Pelodiscus sinensis: one gene and its partner. The main gene of each other region encodes a partner of the protein of the gene in region 2 in a complex. Links are inferred from orthologs where the notes say so. Each region holds a gene or a part of one and is shown on either strand. Other genes may lie near its edges.

The links. The genes of interacting proteins can lie anywhere in the genome.
Region 1: PIGF (region 2) and PIGG share a complex: the UniProt entries of both Homo sapiens proteins name them as parts of the ethanolamine phosphate transferase 2 complex. The link is inferred for Pelodiscus sinensis from reciprocal best matches to the Homo sapiens genes PIGF and PIGG.

The regions. Positions count from the first base shown.
Region 1 is NC_134716.1:3,107,031-3,118,085, reverse strand, and holds the start of PIGG (GPI ethanolamine phosphate transferase 2, catalytic subunit), read right to left. Parts: upstream 4,270-11,055; 5' UTR 4,163-4,269; coding exon 4,009-4,162; intron 2,065-4,008; coding exon 1,859-2,064; intron 1-1,858.
Region 2 is NC_134713.1:164,108,629-164,119,375, forward strand, and holds the start of PIGF (GPI ethanolamine phosphate transferase, stabilizing subunit), read left to right. Parts: upstream 1-5,689; 5' UTR 5,690-5,826; intron 5,827-6,996; 5' UTR 6,997-7,020; coding exon 7,021-7,248; intron 7,249-10,747. Other genes in the region: CRIPT (cysteine-rich PDZ-binding protein), read right to left, coding at 242-345, 1,765-1,819, 3,827-3,892, 5,479-5,494.

The DNA.
Region 1 (11,055 bases), on a different chromosome or scaffold from region 2:
ACCCCAGACCCGTCATAGCCCCCCCTTCCGATAGTCCGGCATATCTGATAATCCAGCGGCCCCTGGGTCCTAAAGGTGCCGGATTACCAGAAGTTTACTGTATTTTGCATGTGCTGTGAGTATCATTGTGGTACCCAGGGCTTCCAAAGTTGAGTAGCCCTGATTTATTCAATGTATTATAATGATTTCAATTATTCTTTCAACAGGAACCAAGTAGTGGCAGTGAGCTACCACTCCTATCACCAAAAGTAGACACCAGAGGAGCAAGAGAGATCTAGCCTGTCTCTCCCCAGCTTTAAAATCTATGAATAACAACTTCAAGAAATGGCAAGGTATCAGAGACCCTGCTGCTAAGCACATACCATCAGCAATACGCTGTATCACTAGAGTGTCACATGCCATCACTAGAGCATAACAATACCTACATCAGCCTCTGAATGAATGAATGTCAACAAGGCTGCACTCTTTACAGTACATCACCAACCTGCCCTACTGAAACTCTGGTTCTACAGCACCAACTCTACAGGCTCCTAATAAAGCTACAGGAAAAGAGCTCTGTTTGATATCGGTTTCAGAGACCGATAGCTTAGAAAGAGGATGGCAGCAATATACTCAAGCAGTGCTCTAATATGCTCCCACTGAAATCCATGATAGAAGAGTCCTCATTAAAATTAATGGGAGCAGACTGGCCCTCAACACTCTACAATAAATTTCAACTTTACTTAATTACAAGCTGTTTTCTGTAACAGCCACTATTGCACATTTTCCAAGATATTTAACATATGACAAGTGTGATACGTTAATGAAAAGCAATTTTATACTAAGGAAACCAGTCCATGACAACAAGTACAGCAAGACTGTGGAGACCTAAGCTCTCTTCCTTGCTCGGCCATTAACCTGCGAGCTGACCTAGAATAAGTCATTTCACCTCTGTGCCTCAGTTTTTCCCTTTTCCTCCCTCCATGGGTAAAATGAGAAGTGGCTCCTTACCTTATAAAGCAGGCAGATTTATGACTGGGATGCACTAAAAGTTAAATATTGGACAAATATGCACAGTTTGATTTCAGTGCCCTGAAACTCAATAGGGCCAATTTTCTTTGCAAAAATATCCTAGAGTAAATCTAGATTTTAGGTTTTCCCACCCAAAGTTACAAGGCAGGACTAGAGCTGGCTTTTAAAATGGAAGCCATTGGCAAACAACTCCAAAGGTTATTGACTCATCATAATGAGTTAAAACTACATAAATGACAGTTAAAATTGCCTAAGCAAAGCTACCTGTAATATCACCTTAGCAGTTCTTACATTCTCCCTCACATTGTCAATTGTGAAGCTCATATGCAAAGACTGACTAGTTTAAGAAGTGATAACCCTTGTTATTTCCCTTTCTATCAAGTCTCTTCAGCTCCATAACTGCCCTCTGCCTTCCTTTTGTGGCTTGACCACTACAACTTGCAAGCTAAACCAGGATCGACTGGTGGTCATGTTTCTCTGTCAACATTATATTAAAATATAGTTCCTACACTGATACTGTGGCAAGAGTGCTGTTAAACTTATTAATTAAAGGAGTGAGACTGAGCATGTAGGAATATTGGACAATCTTGAAAATAGAAAGGAGAATTTGTCCAGAGCACCAACCTTCCTCTTTCTCCATTACAGACTACTACTACAGTAGTTCACATATTGCTGTAAGAGATGGAAAGATAAACTCCTTTCCTTTCTCAACTCCTGTAACACTACGGCAAGGAGAAAAGATGTCATACTCACTTGGATCCCTTGCTGGGCAGGGCCTTGCTTGGGAGCAGCCAGAATCAGCTAAGAAATTACAACACATTAAGATAAACAAAATGAAACGGTTTACCTTAATTCGAGGCATGGTGACTGTGGGTGGCTTTGCTTCAGCTATGAAACTGTGGCATGTTCCTTTTTCCACGAGTTGTGTAGTGTAGGGCATGAACTGTTTACCTTTTGACCCAAACACAAAGTCATCTCTCAAAGCATCTATCAGCACAATGACAACTTTTTTGAAAAGAGGTGATGGAATCTTAGTCCAATTAGAAGTAACTCCTAAAATAAATGTAAACGTAAAATGGGTAAAGCATCACTGCAAGTTAAGGGCTCACAACAAAAGTGATCAGCATTTCACAAAATTCACACAGGACTTCTGCAACTGTTTTAATTGCCAGTGAAAGGAATTTAAAGTTAGAAGGTCAGTTGGAAATCAGACAGGACCATACTTCATACTTCCATAGTGCACGTGGATGGAATCTACATCTATTTCTATCCAGCCCTGGCTTGGGCAACAGAATTTTCATGAAACCAAAAGATTCAGCCCATGCACTCTTTAGTCTGACTGAGGTCCCAGTAACACACTTCATCAACTCTGACCTGCAGTGTTGCCATTAGTGAGGGGAAGTGCTAGATGTAGTGAACAGAAATTGGGTAAAATGGTTTGCGAGCCCTCTAGTGGCTACCATTCTTGTTTATGTTTTAGAAGCCAGCTTAATGGTTTGCATATACAGCTTCCTTGTTGTGTATATTTAGAAAATATAATTATTTGGAATCCCATTGTGCCTGTGCTTTTATTTATTTTGTTACGTAATAAACAAAAAAACTTGGACCAAGTAGGGCTTCAACTGAAACAAGTATTAATCATCTCAACCAGGGAAAGTGTACAAGAGTAGTGAAGATGCACAGAAGCAAACATTTGTGACAGCAGCCCCACTTCTGCCCGCTGTTGGGGAGCTAGCAGTCCAGGTCCACTCCTAAGGGCCACTGGGAGATGATAGGCCAGTCCTATTCCCTGGAATATAAGGAGGTTGGTGGGATATGATTGCGGTGGAGTGGCTGGACCAGAACAGATACTAGTGCCCAACATGGTCAGCTCGAGCTCGAGCTACCGTTGTTGCTACTTCTTGTCCAGCTAATGGGGAGACTTAGGGATGAGTCAAATTAAACTTTATGTTCTTTCTACTGCTAGTGCCTCAGTTCCTGCCAGGTTTATTCTCGCTCATGGATGATAAAACTAAAAGGACCCCAAACTTTTGGGCTGCTGGAGCTTGTTTTCTAGCTTCCAGCCCAAAGCAAACTTTTAAAGCCAAATTCTAACCACCTGTAAAAAGCTTTAATAATGGAATTGCAGTCAAGCTGTTAAATAAAACAGTATGAATGGAATTGTTATAATAAAAGAAGGAGGGGATGGCAGACCCAAGTGCCAAGTGACAGACAGTAGGGGTGTTAGCTATTGGTTAATTGAACAGTCCAGTAACCACATTAATTCCCAGCAGTTATGTGACTATTCTATAGCTCCCTGGGGCGGGCCAGCAGCCAGTGCACTCCGGCCCCACTACTAGGGAGTCACTTGGTCCCCCTGCGCTGCTGCCTCTGTATCACAAACAGCAGTGCAGGGTGCCAGGAGGGAGCCGGTCCAGGAGAGGAACCAGTTTAAAAACCAGCTCCCTGTGGGGGGAAGGGGCGCTTACCTGGGCCGGGAAGAGAAGGGGCGGGGCAGCACCCAGGTCGGGAGCATGGCAGTTACCTGGGGAGAGGGCGGGGCGATTACCCAAGCAAGGGGTGGGAGGAGGTGGGGTGGTTACCTGGGGGGGTAGGAGGAGTTACCTGGGTGGGGAAGGGGCGGGGCGAGGGAGGGAGGGGGCGGGGCGGTTACCCGGGCAGGGGGCGGGATGAGGGGGTTACCCGGGTGGGGGATGGGAGGAGGTGGAGCAGTTACCTGGCCCGGGCGTGGGGAGGGGGCGGGGCCGTTACCTGGGGAGGGGAGGGGGCGGGGCGGTTACCTGGGCCAGGCGGGGGGCGGGGCGGTTACCTGAGGAGGGGGCGGGGCGAGGGAGGGAGGGGGTTACCCGGGTGGGGGGATGGGAGGGGGCGGGGCCGTTACCCGGGTGGGGGGATGGGAGGGGGCGGGGCCGTTACCCGGGTGGGGGGATGGGAGGGGGGAGGGGGCGGGGCGGTTACCCGGGTGGGGGGGCGGGAGGGGGGGGGTGGGGCGGTTACCTGGGCCGGGCGGGGCGGGCTCGGCGGGCGGGGCGGGGCGCGCGGGGCGGCGCGCGCGCACGGGCGGCGGGAAGAAGCCGCGCAGGAAGAGCCCCACGCCCAGCGCCTGCAGCAGGAGGCAGCCGGCGGCGAAGAGCCCCGAGCGCAGCCGCATGCTCGGCTCCACGGCAGCCCCGGGCAGCGCCGCCCAGCCCGGCCGCCTCAGGTGCAGTGGGCGGGGCGCTCTCCTACGCCGCCCAATCAGCGGCCCCGGCTCTGCCCTGCCCGCCCGCCGATTGGCTCGTGACGAAGCAACCAGCAGCCTCCGCCCCCGGAACGCACCGAACCTCCGCGCCAGGCCGGCCCCAGAGAGGAAGAGTCGCGCCGCGAACTACAACTCCCAGAAGCCCTTTCACCCGCCGCCTGCCCTACGGCGCGCTCCAGGGACCAATCCGCGTTGTGCTCTGCTGCACGCGGCTGGTCCTTGCAGCCTCTGCGTGGGGGGTGCGCCAATGCCCTGGGTGTGAACACCGAGGTTAAGCATGCAAAGCCTGGGCCCGGGCTCAGGCCTGCAGGCCGCTCATGCACGTGCCCTGCAGGGCAGGCTTGGTGTGCACAGCCAGCGGGCCCCGCTCACCGTACCTATCGCAAGCAGGGAAGCGGGTTGCACGAAGCAAGCAGCAGGAAAGCTGGGCGAAGCCAAGCCCAGCCCAGCAGAAGGGATGCTACCCTCTAGCCCCCAGGAACAGGGCTGAGGCTCATTCATTGTGCCCACAACTGGCCTCTAACCCAGCATGGGCGTAGGAGAAAGAGGCTAAAAGAAATAGCCCGTAAGGAGCCTGGGAGCCTGTCACGCTGCACCCTCCCTTCAAGGTGTACTTCACACAACAGGAACTGACTAGTTTGACGTATGGTTCATGTGTGGGTAGTGCTGCCATGCACAGTTTTGGCAGTCCTCAAGCTACAACATGTCAGGGACTTATCGGTCTATCTACCTGTGTGCCATCGCACCCTCTGGCAGCAAGTTAGCCAGATATTCCTTCTTCCTTTTAATTGACAACATAGTACTGGAACTTGCCCATTTACACCTGACTTTATTTACACCAACATAGGGAGTAATATCACACCAAAGTCCTACAATGTGCATAGAACAGCTAGCAGCAGTCAGGCTAAGATGTCAGTGCAGCAAGATAATCTTTTTTGTAACCATTACTAAGATGACGTCCAGTAAGTGTCACAAACAAGACACAATCCAGTGCTAGTTACAGAGCAAAGAACTCAGGAGGATTTAAGTTCAAACCAAAGACTTGTCAGGCAATGAAAGTATGATCTGACAACCCACTTTGTCAAATGACAGGAGTGTAAAAAGTCACTTACAGCTTATAGAATCATAGAATAATAGGACTGGAAGGGACCTCAAGAGGTCATCGAGTCCAGCCCCCTGTCCTCAAGGCAGGACCAAGCTCCGTCTACACCATCCCTGACAGATGTCTATCTAACCTGTTCTTAAATATCTCCAGACAGGGAGATTCCACCACCTCCCTTGGCAATTTATTCCAATATTTGACCACCCTGACAGTTAGGAATTTTTTCCTAATGTCCAATCTAAGCCTCCCCTGCTGCACTTTAAGCCCATTACTCCTTGTCCTGTCCTCAGAAACCAAGAGGAACAAATTTTCTCCTTCCTCCTTGTGACACCCCTTTTAGATATTTGAAAACCGCTATCATGTCCCCCCTTAATCTTCTTTTTTCCAAACTAAACAAGCCCAGTTCATGAAGCCTGGCTTCATAGGTCATGTTCTCTAAACCTTTAATCATTCTTGTCGCTCTTCTCTGTACCCTTTCCAATTTCTCCACATCTTTCTTGAAATGTGGCGCCCAGAACTGGACACAGTACTCCAGCTGAGGCCTAACTAGTGCAGAGTAGAGTGGCAGAATGACTTCACGAGTTTTGCTTACAACACACCTTTTGATACAACCTAGAATCATATTTGCTTTTTTTGCAACAGCATCACACTGTTGACTCATATTCAACTTGTGGTCCGCTATGACCCCTAGATCCCTTTCTGCCATGCTCCTTCCTAGACAGTCACTTCCCATCTTGTATGTATGGAACTGATTGTTCCTTCCTAAGTGGAGCACTTTGCATTTCTCTTTATTAAACCTCATCCTGTTTACCTCTGACCATTTCTCTAACTTGCTAAGGTCATTTTGAATTATGTCCCTATCCTCCAAAGAGGTTGCAACCCCACCCAGTTTGGTGTCATCTGCAAACTTAATAAGCATACTCTCTATCCCAATATCTACATCATTGATGAAGATATTGAACAGTACGGGTCCCAAAACAGACCCTTGCGGCACTCCACTTGTTATCCCTTTCCAGCAGGATTTAGCACCGTTAACAACAACTCTCTGACTACGGTTATCCAGCCAATTATGCACCCACCTTATCGTGGCCCTATCTAAGTTATATTTGCCTAGTTTATCAATAAGAATATCATGCGAGACCGTATCAAATGCCTTACTAAAGTCTAGGTATATGACATCCACCGCTTCTCCCTTATCCACAAGGCTCGTTATCCTATCAAAGAAAGCTATCAGATTAGTTTATGCTTTCTTCCTCCCCTCCTTTCCCCCCTTTCTTTTTTTTCCTTCTTCCCGTCCCTCCTTCCTTCCCTTATTTATTCTTGGATCTGGACTTTTAACACTCCTGTCATCTGTGCCCACAAAAGCTCATGATACCATCTACATGTTTTGTTAGTTTTTAAACAACTACTAGTCTAGTAGCGCCTTAAGTTTTTCCTGTTACAGACTAACTCAGCTACTCCTCTGAAGTATGAACAAGAGAGCCTTCCTCTTCTGATACCCCAGGCCTATACTGTATCAGCAGAGTGACATGTATGAAATTATTCTCTTTGCAGTATATAGCCAATTACAGTACAACCCCCAAAAACCTGTTTCATCAGGTACCGTTTTTGTCATTTTTTCATTCTACACTCCCAGACAAATTGTGTGTGTGAAGTCTCTGCTGGTGGAAGCAAAGGCAGAGCATCAGAAAGGGTTATCTAAAGCAGTCCACTGAAGTGCGAATCTGTACTTCGTGCCACCGCAGTGGGAGTCTCAAAGGCTTTGTAGTGTTGGAGGTGAAAGATTAGGCACATGGGTTGTCTTTTTAAACCCCACTACAAAGGAGACACTTTGAATCCGACAAGTGAAGTCAGCAGCAGAATTGTACAGAAGCATTACCCACAAACAAGGGGGTGAGTTCCCCCTCCACCACCATATTCAGCTTCAGATACTAAGGCAAGTGGCCTTACATTAGTTAATTGCATCCTAGCTAAGCCCCTGCACTGCAATAAAAGCATAGCACATATTTGCCCCCATCATAGTGATCTTGTTCTTCTACTGGGGAACCTACAGCTTGGGGGCCGAATCCAGCCCCTGGCTTGCCTAGATCTGGCCCCTAAGACTTTGGGAACCCCCCCAGCATCAGGGAGGTGATGCTGGCACTCCAGCCCTGCACCCCCAAGAAGCTGCACCAGGTAAGCACCTCCCTCCTCATCACTCAGACCCTGCACCCCCACCCAGCTCCCGCACCCCTCCCACCCACCCTCTGCTCCTGCACCCAGCTCCCACACCCCAACTCTGCTCCTGCATCCTACTTCCCACCCAGCCCTCCTACCCCCAGCCCTCTCCAACATCCTACCACCCTCCCAGAACCACCAATCCCAACCCACTCCTCACTCTCCCTCCCGCTCAGACCCCAAACCCACTTCCCAGCAGCCCCCTCCCACATGCTGAAATTCTCATTTTTGGCCACACCCCAGAACCTAGGGGAGCCCACAAAATCTACTAGCCTGGGCCCCCAAAGCTCTGATGTGCAAGGGGCATGTGGGGAGTGTCTTTCTGCTTCTTAGTCTGGGGTATGTCAGTGGTGTTTTCCTTGCTTCTCACTTGAGAGACACCCCTGGCTCATTTTTCTGAGGGCCTGACTATTACCCCATGCTACTTATACAAGTGGGCACTAATGACCCTGCAGGGTGTGACACTGAGTGGCTCTAAAGTGACTGCAAGGCTCTGGGAGTACAGGTGAAGGAGTCTGGAGCACAGGTGGTATTCTCTCTGCTCCTTCCTGTCAAAGGTTGGAGTCCAGGCAGAGACAGGTGCATCCTGGAGGTGAACGCCTGGCTGCGAAGATGGTGTCGCCAGGAGGGCTTTGGCTTCCTCAACCATGGGAAGCTATTCCTAAAAGGGCTGCTAAGGAGGGATGAGGCTCATCTTTCAAGGAAGGGGAAGTCAGTATTTGGATGCAGACTGGCTTACCTAGTGAGGAGGGCTTTACACTAGGTTCGATGGGGGCAGGTGACCAAAGCCCACAGGTAAGTGAAGAACATGGGAGACCTGGGAGATGGGTCAGAATGGGAGGGAGCATGAGCTAGAATAGAGGAAAAAAAGGGACAAGGCAGAATGGGGAAGCAAGATCAAATCAGTATCTTAGATGCCTATAAACAAATACACGAAGTATGGGTAATGAGCAGGAAGAACTTGAAGTGCTAATAAATAAACACAACTATGACATCATTGGTATCACAGAGACTTGGTGGGATAATACACACGATTAGAATATCGGTATAGACGGGTACAGTTTACTCAGGAAGGATAGGCAGGGTAAACAGGGAGGTGGTGTTGCCGTACTGGCATAGAGAGTAAGCTTATTAAGCCTGCAGATGATACAAAGCTGAGAGGGGTTCCATGGACTCATCATGCTTTGGATGATAGGGTCCAAAATGAGCTGGACAAACTGGAGAAATGGTCTGAGGTAAATAGGATGAAGTTCAAGGACAAATGCAAAGTGCTCCACTTAGGAAGGAACAATCAGTTTCACACATACAGAATGGGAAGCGACTGTCTAGGAAGAAGTACTTCAGAAAGGGATCTAGAGATCATAGTGTACCACAAGCTAAATATGGACCAACAGTGTGATGCTGTTGCAAAAACACACACACACACACACACACACACACACACACAGGATTCCGGGATGCATTGACAGGAGTGTTCTGAGCAAGACACAAGAAGTCATTCTTCCGCTCTACTCTGCACTGATTAGGCCTCAGTTGCAGTATTGTGTCCAATTCTGGGCACCACATTTCATGAAAGTTGTGGAGAAATTGGAGAGGGTCGAGAGAAGAGCAACAAGAATGATTAAAGATCTAGAGAACATGACCTATGAAGGAAGACTGAACGAATTGGGCTTGTTTAGTTTGTAAAGGAAAAGGCTGAGAGAGGACATGACAGCAGTTTTCAGGTATCTAAAAGGGTGTCACAAGGAGGAGGGAGAAAAATTGTTCTCCTTGGCCTCTGAGGATAGGACGAGAAGCAATGGGCTTAAACTGCAGCAAGGGAGGTTTAGGTTGGACATTAGGAAAAAGTTCCTAACTGTCAGGGTGGTTAAACACTGGAATAAATTTCCTAGGAGGGATTGTGGAATCACCATCTCTGAAGATACTGAAGAGCAGTTTAGATCGATATCTATCAGGGATGGTCTAGATGGTACTGGATCCTGCCATGAGAGCAGGGGCCTGGACTCCCTCTCTCAAGGTCCCTTCTAGTTCTAATGTTCTATGTTTCTATGAAGTATTTCTAAGATATGCATGCGGAAAAGTGTATTTGTATCTTAACACAATCTCTTATAAAATCTGTTTTTAGGTATTCAGATTGAAAATCAAAATGAGGCTAGCACACATTAAATAGGCAACTTGTCTATAGGATTCTTAACTCTAGTATACACTTTGGAGATCATACTTTATATGTTCCAGCATTTCTGTTGGTCTGAACAGAAGGCACCACATAGGGCTGCAGGAATCCAGTTTCAAAATGGGGTCGTGATGGCAAAACGTTTGGGAATGACCGCTCCCCTTGTGACTATTGCTTCAGTGAAAGAGAACATACATGTGATAGTGCGATAGGTTGGGACTCCATGGCACCTCCTGCCGGTCACATTTGGGATTAGCTTGCCCCTGCACTGGAGCGCCCTCTTCTGGCTGTCTCTCACCCATTACCACCTGCCCTTTATATCGCCATCGCCCTGTCGGGGCCCATGTGCCTCCCAGGCCACAATGTCCTTCCCTTGTTGTTTTGAATTGGATCGCTCAGTCAAGTGGTGGGACTGGGGTAACTGTATTCTGTGGAGGGGAGGACCCCAGAATGTGGGCTCTGGGGAAGAGACCTACGACTGACAAAGGAGGCTCTGTCATCACCGTGAATAGGTCAGATTAACAACAGGAGGATGCCAGGCAACTCTCCAACACCACCTGCTACAGGCCTCCTCTGTCTGATCCCACTGAGGAAAACCAAAAGAAGTTACACCATCTGCTCAAACTCTCTGCAATAGCATGGGGCCAAATCAACATGGACCCACTCCTAAAGCCACAACCAGGAGTGTTCCATCTGCTCCCCAACATCCATAAACCTGGAAATCCCAGACATCCCATCAACTCACACACTGGACAGCAGGGTTGTCCGACTATGTGGACTCACTCCTCAGACCCTACGCTACCAGCACTCCGAGCTACCTTTGAGACACCACTGTCTTCCTGAGGAAATGATAGAGCATCAGTAACCTTCCTGAAAACACTAGCCTGGCCACCATGATTGTAGAAGCTCTCTAGACCAACATTCCACACAAGGATGGACAACAAGCTTCCGGAAACACTATCCCCGACGATGCCCCTGCACACCTGGTGACTGAGCGCTGTGACTCCGTCCTCGCCAACAACCATTTCCAATTTGGAGACAATTTATACCTTCACATCAGTGGTACAGGTCTGGGTACTCACATGGCCCCCAGCGTAGGCAAACATATTTATGGCTGACTTAGAATGTTTCCTCGGTTCCCAACCTCTGGCATCCCTCCTCTACTTGTGTTACACTGACAACATTGTCATCATATGGACCCATGGGGAAGGAGGCCTTTGAAGAATTCCACAGAGATTTCAACCATTTCCACCCCACCATCAACCTCAGCCTGCACCAGTCCACACAACAGAGCCACTTCCTTGACATTAC
Region 2 (10,747 bases):
TCATTATGGCCCTTCTTAGCCTGGAATCTCTGAATCTATAAATGAATTTCACACAGTTACCTGATGTTATATAGTAAGAATGCTCAGCAACAGCAACCTTTAATTTCAATAACACTTTTCTTAGCAAGGTAAGTTTGAATTATTCTTCAGTTCTATTTTTGATGCCTAAAATTAAAACAAGTGGAGTTCCATTTGTGCACTAAATTCAAGATGGGTAAAACTTATGCTACACAAATCTCACCTTTTTTATAAGCACATCCCTGGCAGTAGTGAGACCCTGGCTGATGAACCGAACTCTTACAAATCCGGCATATTGCAAATTTGTTCTTCCCGTAAGGATCAAACCTCAGATAAAAAAAATTAAATAGTCCAACATTAAATGACATGTAAAAGCCATAGGGAGAAAATACTATTTGTCTCATCACTAGGACTGAAAAATCATTGAACTTAGAGTGATTATGAACAGAGAATGTAGAGAGTCTGCAGTCTACAAGAGAGATATTCAAAGACTCCTAAGACCACATATGGAAACTAATAATATGGCCCACGGCACACCTGCAATGTGTAGACAAAGCTGATATATTTTTATCAAGTTTTTACTTTAAGAAGTCTTTATTTGTAAACTATCAATAATAGAATATTTTGCACTTATGGTCACTAAGCACTTTGCAAAAAGTGAATTAATCCTCAACACACCTATGAGGTCAACAATTATCATGCTATTTTATAAGGGGACAAACAGATACTTAGACGTTTCTCAGTCACTCTAGGTCTCACAGGAAGTTTTGTCAGAGGCAATAAAAGAACTCACATCTCCCAACTCTTAAACCATGTCCAACACTTCCTCTTCAAATCTAAAAGTCAACTATGCACAGGGCTCGACAAATTATTTTAAGCCGGCGGGGCTGCGCAGCACGGTCAGCGCATACACAGCGCGGTGTGTGCATGCGCAGTGCGCGCTTCCATGCGGCTGGCAAGCAGGGCTCGCCGCCACTTGGTGACCCCTGACTATACAGATACATAAAAGTTTAGGAAGGACTGAAGCATTGCAGTTTGGCCAGTTGTATATTGTTTTCTCCCTAGCACAAAACAATACGGCTACGTCTACACTGGCCCCATAAAACGGAAGAGGCATGCAAAGCAGGTAAGTCAGAATAGGGAAATCCGTGGGGGATTTAAATATCCCCCGCGGATTTAAATAAACATGTCTGCCGCTTTTTTCCGGCTTGGGGAAAAGCCGGAAAAAAGCGTCTAGACTGGCGCGATCCTCCGGAATAAAGCCCTTTTCCGGAGGATCTCTTATTCGTACTTTCAGGTATTCCTACTTTCAGGTAGGAATAAGAGGTCCTCCGGAAAAGGGCTTTATTCCGGAGGATCGCGCCAGTCTAGACGCTTTTTTCCGGCTTTTCCCCAAGCCGGAAAAAAAGCGGCGAACATGTTTATTTAAATCCGCGGGGGATATTTAAATCCCCCGCGGATTTCCCTATTCTGACTTACCTGCTTTGCATGCCTCTTCCGTTTTATGGGGCCAGTGTAGACGTAGCCTACAAGTCTGAAGATGCGCACATTTGTATACAAATATTTATAAAGTCATAACACTGGATGGTCCTTGCCTCTAATAGCTTGCATTCTGTCAAGACAAATAAAATGAAAATTGTATACCAGTTTTAGAAAGCACTCAGCAATACACGAAACAAGTTTTGGCTCCAGTACAAAATTTATAAGATCTTTATTTTTAATTAAGATAAAAATCGCAATACCAACCTTGCTTTCTTTGAAGTCAGTGCCTTATTTTCATTTAATTTTCGTCCGCCACTTTCTTTATAGAGGAAAGATATACCAATGTACTGACTAAAATCAAAGTCATTTGTAAAAAGCTCATTTAACAAATTAAAGAAAAAAACACACACCCATATTCCCCTCCCAGACTTGATCAAATAAGGAGTAAAAAAGTTCATTCAAAATAAGAGCCCAGGAACATTATAGGTCTTAACAATCCAATAGAACATACCACGTTCTCATATTATTACTAATATAATATGCACTAAATAGCAGAAATGCAATATATTATAAACAATGAAAAGTTATCTACGGAACATAAGCAGCTGTGACTAATGTAAGACTAAGTTCAATCAGCCTGCCAGGAGACAGTGTATGGAAACATAAAACTCTTAGAGAATTCATATTCAGTATTTTGTACATTTCCAGAATCTCCAGAATTTTGGTCTTAATATATAAATTAAATGTAAAATAGAAATAAGATTCAATACTGGTATTGGTCAAGGTAGGAAAAAATGGGAAATGTCCGTTTCTTTTTCCTGACTTGAAAGAATTGACATGTAAAGCTGTAGGTTGGTAGACTACTGCACTGTACAGAATTCATTGCACACCAGGGGCCTTAGTTACTAGGCCAATATTAGACAGAAACTTTGTTGCAGTGCTAGAAACACCTAAGTGTTCTGACTCCAGTTCTGTGCCTTCACCATCAGGAAGTTCTTTCTTCTCTTTCCTCCTCCCCCAAAAGGGTAAGCTGTCATATTTAATTACGAACTAATACGAAGGATGTGAAAGGGAAACCACGTAAATGGTAAACTGATGAGCCCATTCTCATCGGATAATGTTCATGGTTACATGTAGGCTCTGGGTATGGCTGGTTCCCAGGGAGCTGCCTGCCACCCTGTGTTACTACCTCTGATACAGAGGCAGCAGCACAGGGTGGTAGATGAGAGATGGCACACATGGGGAGCCATCAGCCATCCCACATGTAACCACTGAAATTTTTAGGACTTTATGTGGTTACTAAGGGTGTGTCTAGACTACAGGGTTTTGTTGACAAAAGCGGACTTTTGTCAACAAAACTATACCTGCGTCTACACTGCCGCTGAGTTCTGTCGACATAATGTCGACAGAACTCACCAGTTTTGTCGACGGCTGTAAACCTCATTCTACGAGGAATAACGCCTTTTGTCGACAGAGTTCTGCATCTACACTGTCCTTTGCGTCTACACTGTCATGTTGACAAAGCGGCTTGCTTGTCAACAGAACTGGATGTAGTCTAGACGATCTTTGTCGACAGAAGCTTTGTCGACAGTATCTGTCGACAAAACTTCTGTCGACAAAAGTCTGTAGTCTAGATGTACCCTTAATTACACACATTTTAACATTCCTAACCAATACCGCATTGTTAACCTACTGTTTATCAGTTTGGTATTCCTAGTCCATTTAGCTGCTAAATATGTAGCAGTACAACAGAAAATAAAAAGTATCTAATATCTCAGAACGACCAAATAAAATAATGACCAGGATTATTAGCCTGATGGTGGGTGAAAATAAAATGTTGAGGATGAGTGGCCTAAAGCAAATGGGTGGAAAAATGAATATAGTGCACCCTGAATTTGGATAACAGGACCACCTAATCCACATTTCATTATTTCGTATTGTGATATAGTAGAAATACACACTGCTAGGGATGCGAAAGGTTAACCGGTGGGGGTTGGAGCAGCTCCCTGCCCACTGGGGGTAGGGGACTGCTCTGGCTGTGGTGACCTGCTTGTGGCAGAGGACTGAGGGAATGCCCCCACCCCCTTTAATCCATTAATTAGATACATGTAACATTTAATCAGTTAACCAATTAAATGGAATTTTACATCTCTACAAACTGCACTACAGAAGAGCAAAATAATTATAGTCCAATAGACTGAATTATCATAGGAAAGAATCTGAAGTGAAGGACAGAAATGGGGAAGCTGCTCATCTATTGGCATTGTTCTTTGCATAATAAAAGCTTAAAGTCTTCCTCAATTAAGTTAGTCTTTGAATGCAACACCTGTAGTATTTCTTGCTCCATCTTTCCATGTGTCAGGTGTAATCACAGTGCCAAGTTTCTTCTCACCTGTAACAGAACACACAGCAGGGGAAGAAAACTAGACTTAGTTTTCATTAAAGCCTCTAAGCAAATGGTTCTTATTAATACAAATGTTATTAAATATATATTTCTGGAATCAGTGCTTAGCAGCTCCACATGAGAAGCCAGGCTCTGCTTAGACCCTATAGATCCCCTGTGAAAGATGCTAGTTCATTGATAGAGGCAATGATACAGATGAGACAAGAGCAGGGGCAGCCAGGAAGCTGTGATGTGAATATTGACAGCTACCCCACACAAACCCAGGCAGTTTACCAATAGCTATGCCCATCTCAGTTATGACCGCCCAGCTGTGGGTGAGAGGGAGGAGAATGAGTGAGTGCACATGCACACACACGTGTGTGTGTGTGTGTGTGTGTAGATGAGACCCAGCCCGAACAGGGAGATACATCATGCCCCCATCCTGGCAGAGCTCCCTCTAAGCTAAACAGCTGCCTAAAAATCCTTTCACAAGGGTTCAGGGCTACTGTGCATGGAGTTGCCAGAGACTGGGGGAAGAGATGCAGGGGCAGCAGGCGGGAGCCTATACTTGATGGGAGCCAGCTTAAAAGCTGCCCTGTGTGTAACTGTGTAATTTTCAGCAGTTAGGCAGTTACACACACTTTAACATGCCTTCAGATCATCCCTGTGCAAAATGAATGTTATGTGCATCAATACGGAGGAGATGTGCTGCACATGAGCTCCATATTGGTGCACTCAGGAGAGATGTCAGACAGTGTTTAACTGACAAAAAGGCTAATGGCATATTAGGTTGCATTAAGAGGAACATTGCCAGCAGATCCAGAGATGTCATCATTCCCCTTTATTCGGCTTTGGTGAGGCTGCATCTGGAGTACTGTGTCCAGTTCTGGGCCCCCCCCCACTACAAAAAGGATGTGGATGCATTGGAGAGGGTCCAGTGGATGGCAACCAAAATGATTAGGGGGCTGGAGCATATGACTTATGAGGAGAGGCTGAGGGACTTGGGTCTGTTTAGTCTGCAGAAGCGAAGAGTGAGGGGGGATTTGATAGCAGCCTTCAACTTCCTAAAGGGAGGTTCCAAAGAAGATGGAGGGAGGCTGTTCTCAGTAGTGACAGATGGCAGAACAAGGGGCAATGGTCTCAAGTTGGGGTGGGAGAGGTCCAGGTTGGATATTAGGAAAAACTGTTTCACTAGGAGGGTGGTGAAGCACTGGAATGGGTTACCTAAGGAAGTAGTGGAGTCTCCATCCCTAGAGGTGTTTAAGTCTCGGCTTGACAGAGCCCTGGCCGGGTTGATTTAGTTGGGATTGATCCTGCCTAGAGCAAGGGCCGGACTTGACCTTCTGAGGTCTCTTCCAGCTCTATGGCTCTATGAATAATCATGGAACTTCAACCTCCCCCCTTGCGCAGATGGTAGGGGGCGGGGAAAGAGGATCCCCTGCCCCGCTGGGCACCCAGCTGCGGCGGGGGGAGGGGGGATGGTCTCGCGGCTCAGGCGGTGGGCGAGGACTCCAGGCACGCATCGGCTTGGCGGAGCCCAGGCGCGGGGCGCTGCCCGAAGTGGCGGGGAGGGACCGGCGCCCGCGAGGACTCACACTTCTCGCAGACCATGCTGAGCTGGAACCGCCGCCGGGCAGCCGCAGACCACCAACAGCTCGACAGACCAAAACAAACTGCCACTTCCGGACAGTCCCTTCCTCTTCCGGCCTCCGCGCTCGCCCGCCTCCCTATGGAGCCAACCTATGGGGCTGCTCAATGTACGTCCCCCGCAGCCTGACTGGTCGCCACCATCCGTCACTCTCATGCCTTGTGTCTTCTCCTTTGAGCAAGGCGCGCAGCGCCGCCTGCTACGCAGGGAGTTGAGCGCCGGGGCCCGAGAGCCGCGCGACCTCTGACCTCGTGTTCGGCGTAGTCCCGCCCACTGTCTGCTGACAGGGACTCGGGTAAGAGACAAACGGTCTGTGCTCTTCCTTCCCAGCAGGCTGCTGCCCGCCCCCCGCTGACTGTCTTCCTCCCCCCGCTTTCTGCTGCTCCCCCTCCCCTCCCGTGACGCGGCCCCACCTCGGGCTCCCCAGCATCCCATCCTGGGCAGCGCCCGCTGCCTTTCCTTGCTGTGGTGCGTTTTCCAGCCGAGCAGTCAAGCCTCTGCCCCTGCCAGTACTTGCTGGGCTTCTTCTCCTGTGGCATCGATGTCACAGGTCACAAGGGGGACGTGGGGCAGCATTCACCTCGCCACTCCCATCAGTGCCACTCTGGGTACCCAATGATCCTCCCAGCGAACCATTTGGTGATGCAGCCTGGTTCGGGCCATCGGAGGGTATGTCTACACTGCAGCGTTTTTCCAGAAAAAATGGCCATTTTTCTGGAAAAACAATACTTACGTCCACACTGCTTTTACTTTCTTTCGACAGAAAGCTGAAAGAACAGAGGGGCTTTTCTGACAGTGGTAAACCTCTTTCTATGAGGCAGAAGCTTTTTTCCAAAAAAGCTTTTCCAGAAAAATGCATGTGTAGACGTAGAAGAGGGAGTTCTTTTGAAAGAAAAGGCTTCCAGGAAATAACACAGGTGCCCTGGTGGCCACTCCGTCCATATTAATCACAACTTAAATGCAAGATAGCATCCAATTAATGTGGGTGCTATGTTTTGAAAAAGCACATTACTTTTTCATTGTGCTTTTGCTGTGTGGATGCACTCTTTCAAAATAAGCTTTTCCAGAAGATCTCTTCTGGAAAAACTTCCAAAAGAAGCTTGCAGTCTAGACATAGACTGAGGCATGTTGCACAAAGGTCAAACCTTTTTCCTCCTCTGCAAATTGCCTGATGGCACAAAGCCTGTGGTATAGGCTGTGTCTGCCTGAGAATGTAAACATCAGCAAAGCCAGTGAATCAGATGTTTTAGCAGAAAACATCACAATTCACTGCCAATCACAAAATGCAGTACAATATCTGAAAAAAAAAAAATTGGAATGAAACATCATGGTTGCTCCTAGGTTTTCTGTTTTAAAGTAGCACACAATTTATCTTTTTCAACGTTTTTTTTTTTTTTTTTAAGTTTACCCTCCCTCTTAAATTTTTCAGAAATTAACTACAGGAATGTCATTTGCTTTATTGTAGGTGCACTATTCAAGATAAAACACCATGAAAGATACAGAAATAAAGAGACTGCTGTTTGCCCACATCATTTGTGTATTTTCCATTATCTTAACAACTATTGTTCCACCTCTCTTTTTGGAGAACTTCTCAGTTTTGGGAACACACCTTATCTGGCTGTGCATCTGTTCTATATGTGTAACTACTGTAAATATAATATTGTATATAATACTTAAACCAAATCCGTCTTCTAAGAGAATTTCACTTGCTCACAAGGTAAGAATTTGTATAATTAACTTAATGCTAATAGCTTTGAGGAAGGGTTGACTATCTTTTTCCTGAAGAAGTCAACTAGGAAAGTAAAAGGACAAAGTACAGTCAAATGCATGGTTGTCAAATCTTCACCTTTGTAAATGAGTGGAGTAAGTGTGTATTACCTTTTGAAATGAGTTTTCCAGTATTTTTATCAGTGTTAAAACTTTCTTTTCCATTGAAGTTTTTCAGAGGGGAGCATTACTGGACCACATTCTTCTCCCAGAGCCAGGGAAAGGATCTAACAGTCCTGATGCTGCCAATTCCACTCCAACTGGTCTCTTTCTACCTTTGACATTTCCAGCAAACCCAGGAGTGCTGGTTGTATTATATCTTTAGTGTCTTTTCAAGAGCTGGTGGCTTATAGCCTAAAACCATCATCCTCCAATTCAGTGATGAGCAAACTATGCTAGTGAGCAGACAGTATGAGTGGCTCTCTTTCATTTACATGGGCTGCAAAATTGTCGTAATCAAGACTGTCATTCCTGGGATAGGGTAGCTTTGCTAGCTGTTCTTGTGTGCATAAAACTTTTGGGTTACGCTAATTGAACCATAGCAGTATTTTGGCTGTGGAGGGAGTGCATGATTCTCATAGTCAGTGTTGTGTTCAGTCAGCAGTCAGCGCACACATCATTTCACATACCCTTTGCTTTACTTCTCATTTAGTAATACCAATAGGAAAAGCTATGCAGATGGAAACCAGAGTGTGGCAACACTGCACCTGGGTAACAGTAAACAAAATGTCTTGTGGGTCACACATAGAACCTTAATGGATGTATGCAGGTCATGGGATGCCCACCATTACTCTGATAAGCTCCACGCTCGCAGAAATCAGTGAGACTCTGAATGCAGAAGTCTACGTGCACACATGTCACTGCAAGATCATGCCTAAGCCAGCATTATGTTCAAAAGTTTGGTCTCCTCTGCAGTTAACACATGTTAATACATAGAAGTAATTCAAGGAAAAACTGTAAACCCATGGAAATTTAAATGCAGGTAAAGCACAATAAAATTAATTGAGAAAGGTTAGTTAAGATTTTTTTGAACAACAAAGCCATCCCCCCATAGACACTTCAGTTTTATAGAAGACACTATAATATTACATTTTGCTGATGGAGTATTGGGAACATGAAACTCATAAAATGAATACTACCATAGGAGTTTAGACCAATACTCAGAGAGTTCAGAATGGGGAAACACAAAGGCAGGTTGTCACCAACTTTCTTCTGCACCTGATTTGCTGAGTTGAGGGGATAGACCACTATTACTAAGAACTAATGATCAAATAGCTTGACAAGCCAAATATATTGAGTAGTTTTTCACATATAGTGTGTGGTTTGACATTGATTTATTTGATAAGGGGGAAAAATAAAATCCCCTTTATAAAGTTTGTGACGTGGGGGAAAAAATACCTAAAAAAACTCAGATGATGCTTGAAACTTAACTAATGTTTGAAGTTTTCTTTGTGACTTGTTTTAGATAGAAACACTCAACTTTGGTTGGTGCTTCTTTAATTAAAACTGCTCATAAAATTTCTATAATACAAAAGAAAAACAGGTAACAATTGAGTACCATCTACATTTATAGAATATTGTGTATTTAAAAATGTATATAACAGGATTCTAGAAAGTTAGATACATGAGCAGCATTGTCATCTTGAAATCTAGTCAGTTTTAAAATGTAGTTGATGGAGTCAAATATAGCTTTATATACTATGATGTCCGAGTGCTAGTTTTTGTTGTATTACTATCACATTTCCCTGTTAAAAAATATTTTTAATTCCCCATTGTACTTTGTCAAATACATTCCAAAAAAAGCATTATGCAACATCAGGCATTTTCAAAGGTGAACAGGAACAAACTGAGGAACATTTTTCTCTTATCCTCAGTTAGAGGTATCATAGTTGTTACTTGTAATATTACCACAGTAAGTAAAACATATTTTCATACTGAAGTAGAATTTTATTTTTTAAATTGATATAGCTTTAAAATACTAAACACAGAAAAGCTTGCATAATAATCAGTTTCAACCATAGTCCAATGTAATAACTTCAGAAAAAGGCGAATGTAGTGCCCATCTTTTAAAAATGGAAGGAGGAGAATCTGGGGCTAGCCACAATTCAGTACCTGGAATAATCAGGGAGGAGATCCTCAAGGAATCCATTTTGAAGCACTTGGAACAGAGGAAAGTGACTAGGAACAATAAACATGGATTCAGCAAAGGCAAGTCATGCCTAGCTAAATTGATTGCTCTCTATGATGAGGTAACTGGCTCTGTGGATATGAGGAAGGTGGTAGACATGATAAACCTTGACTTTAGCAAAGCTTTTAATATGGTCTCCCACAGTATTTTTGCCAGCAAGTTAAAGATTTATGGATTGGATAAGTGTAAGGTGAATAGAAAGCCGGCTAGATCGTTGGACTCAATGTTTAGTGATCAACAGCTCAGTGGGCCGTTGGTATCAAGTGATGTGCTCCAAGGGTCAGTTCTGAGGCTGGCTTTGTTCAACATGTTCATTAATGACCTAGATTAGGGAATGGATTGCACCCTCAGCAAGTTCCCAGATGACACTAAGGCTATGTCTAGACTGCAAGCCTCTTTCGAAAGAGGCTCTTTCGAAAGATACTTTCGAAAGAGCCTCTTTCGAAAGAGAGCGTCTAGACTGCATGCGGAACTTTCGAAAAAGCAAGCCGCTTTTTCGAAAGAAAGCATCCAATGAGTCTGGATGCTCTCTTTCTAAAAAGCCTGTTTGCTTTCAAGAACGCCTTCTTTCGAAAGAGCACTTTCGAAAGAAGGCGTTCTTCCTCGTGGAATTAGGTTTACCACTGTCGAAAGAAAAGCCGCATTCTTTCAATTTAATTTCGAAAGAACGCGGCTGCAGTCTAGACGCAGGTGAAGTTTTTTCGAAAAAAGGCTACTTTTTTCGAAAAACCCCCTGAGTCTGGACACAGCCTAAGATAGGGGGTGAGGTAGATATGCTGGAGGGTAGGGATAAGGTCCAGCATGACTTAGACAAATTGGAGGATTGGGCCAAAAGAAGTCTGATGAGGTTCAACAAGGACAAGAGCAGAGTCCTGCACTTGGACAGAAGAATCCCAAGCACTGCTACAGGCTGGGCTTGGTTGGCTAAGCAGCAGTTTGGCAGAAAAAGACCTGGGGATTACAGTGGATGAGAAGTTGGATATAAGTCAACAGTGTGCCCTTGTAGCCAAGAAGGCTACTGGCACATTAGGTTCCATTAATAGGAGCATTTCCAGCAGAACTAGGGAAGTGATTATTCCCCTTTATTTGGCACAGGTGCGGCCACATCTGGAATAGTGTGTGCAGTTCTGGGCCTCCCATTACAGAAATAATGTGGACACATTGGAGAGAATCCAGTGGAGGATGGCAAAAATGATTAAGGGCTGAAGCACATGACTTACATGGAGAGGCTAAGGGCTTTGAACTTATTTAGTCTACAGGG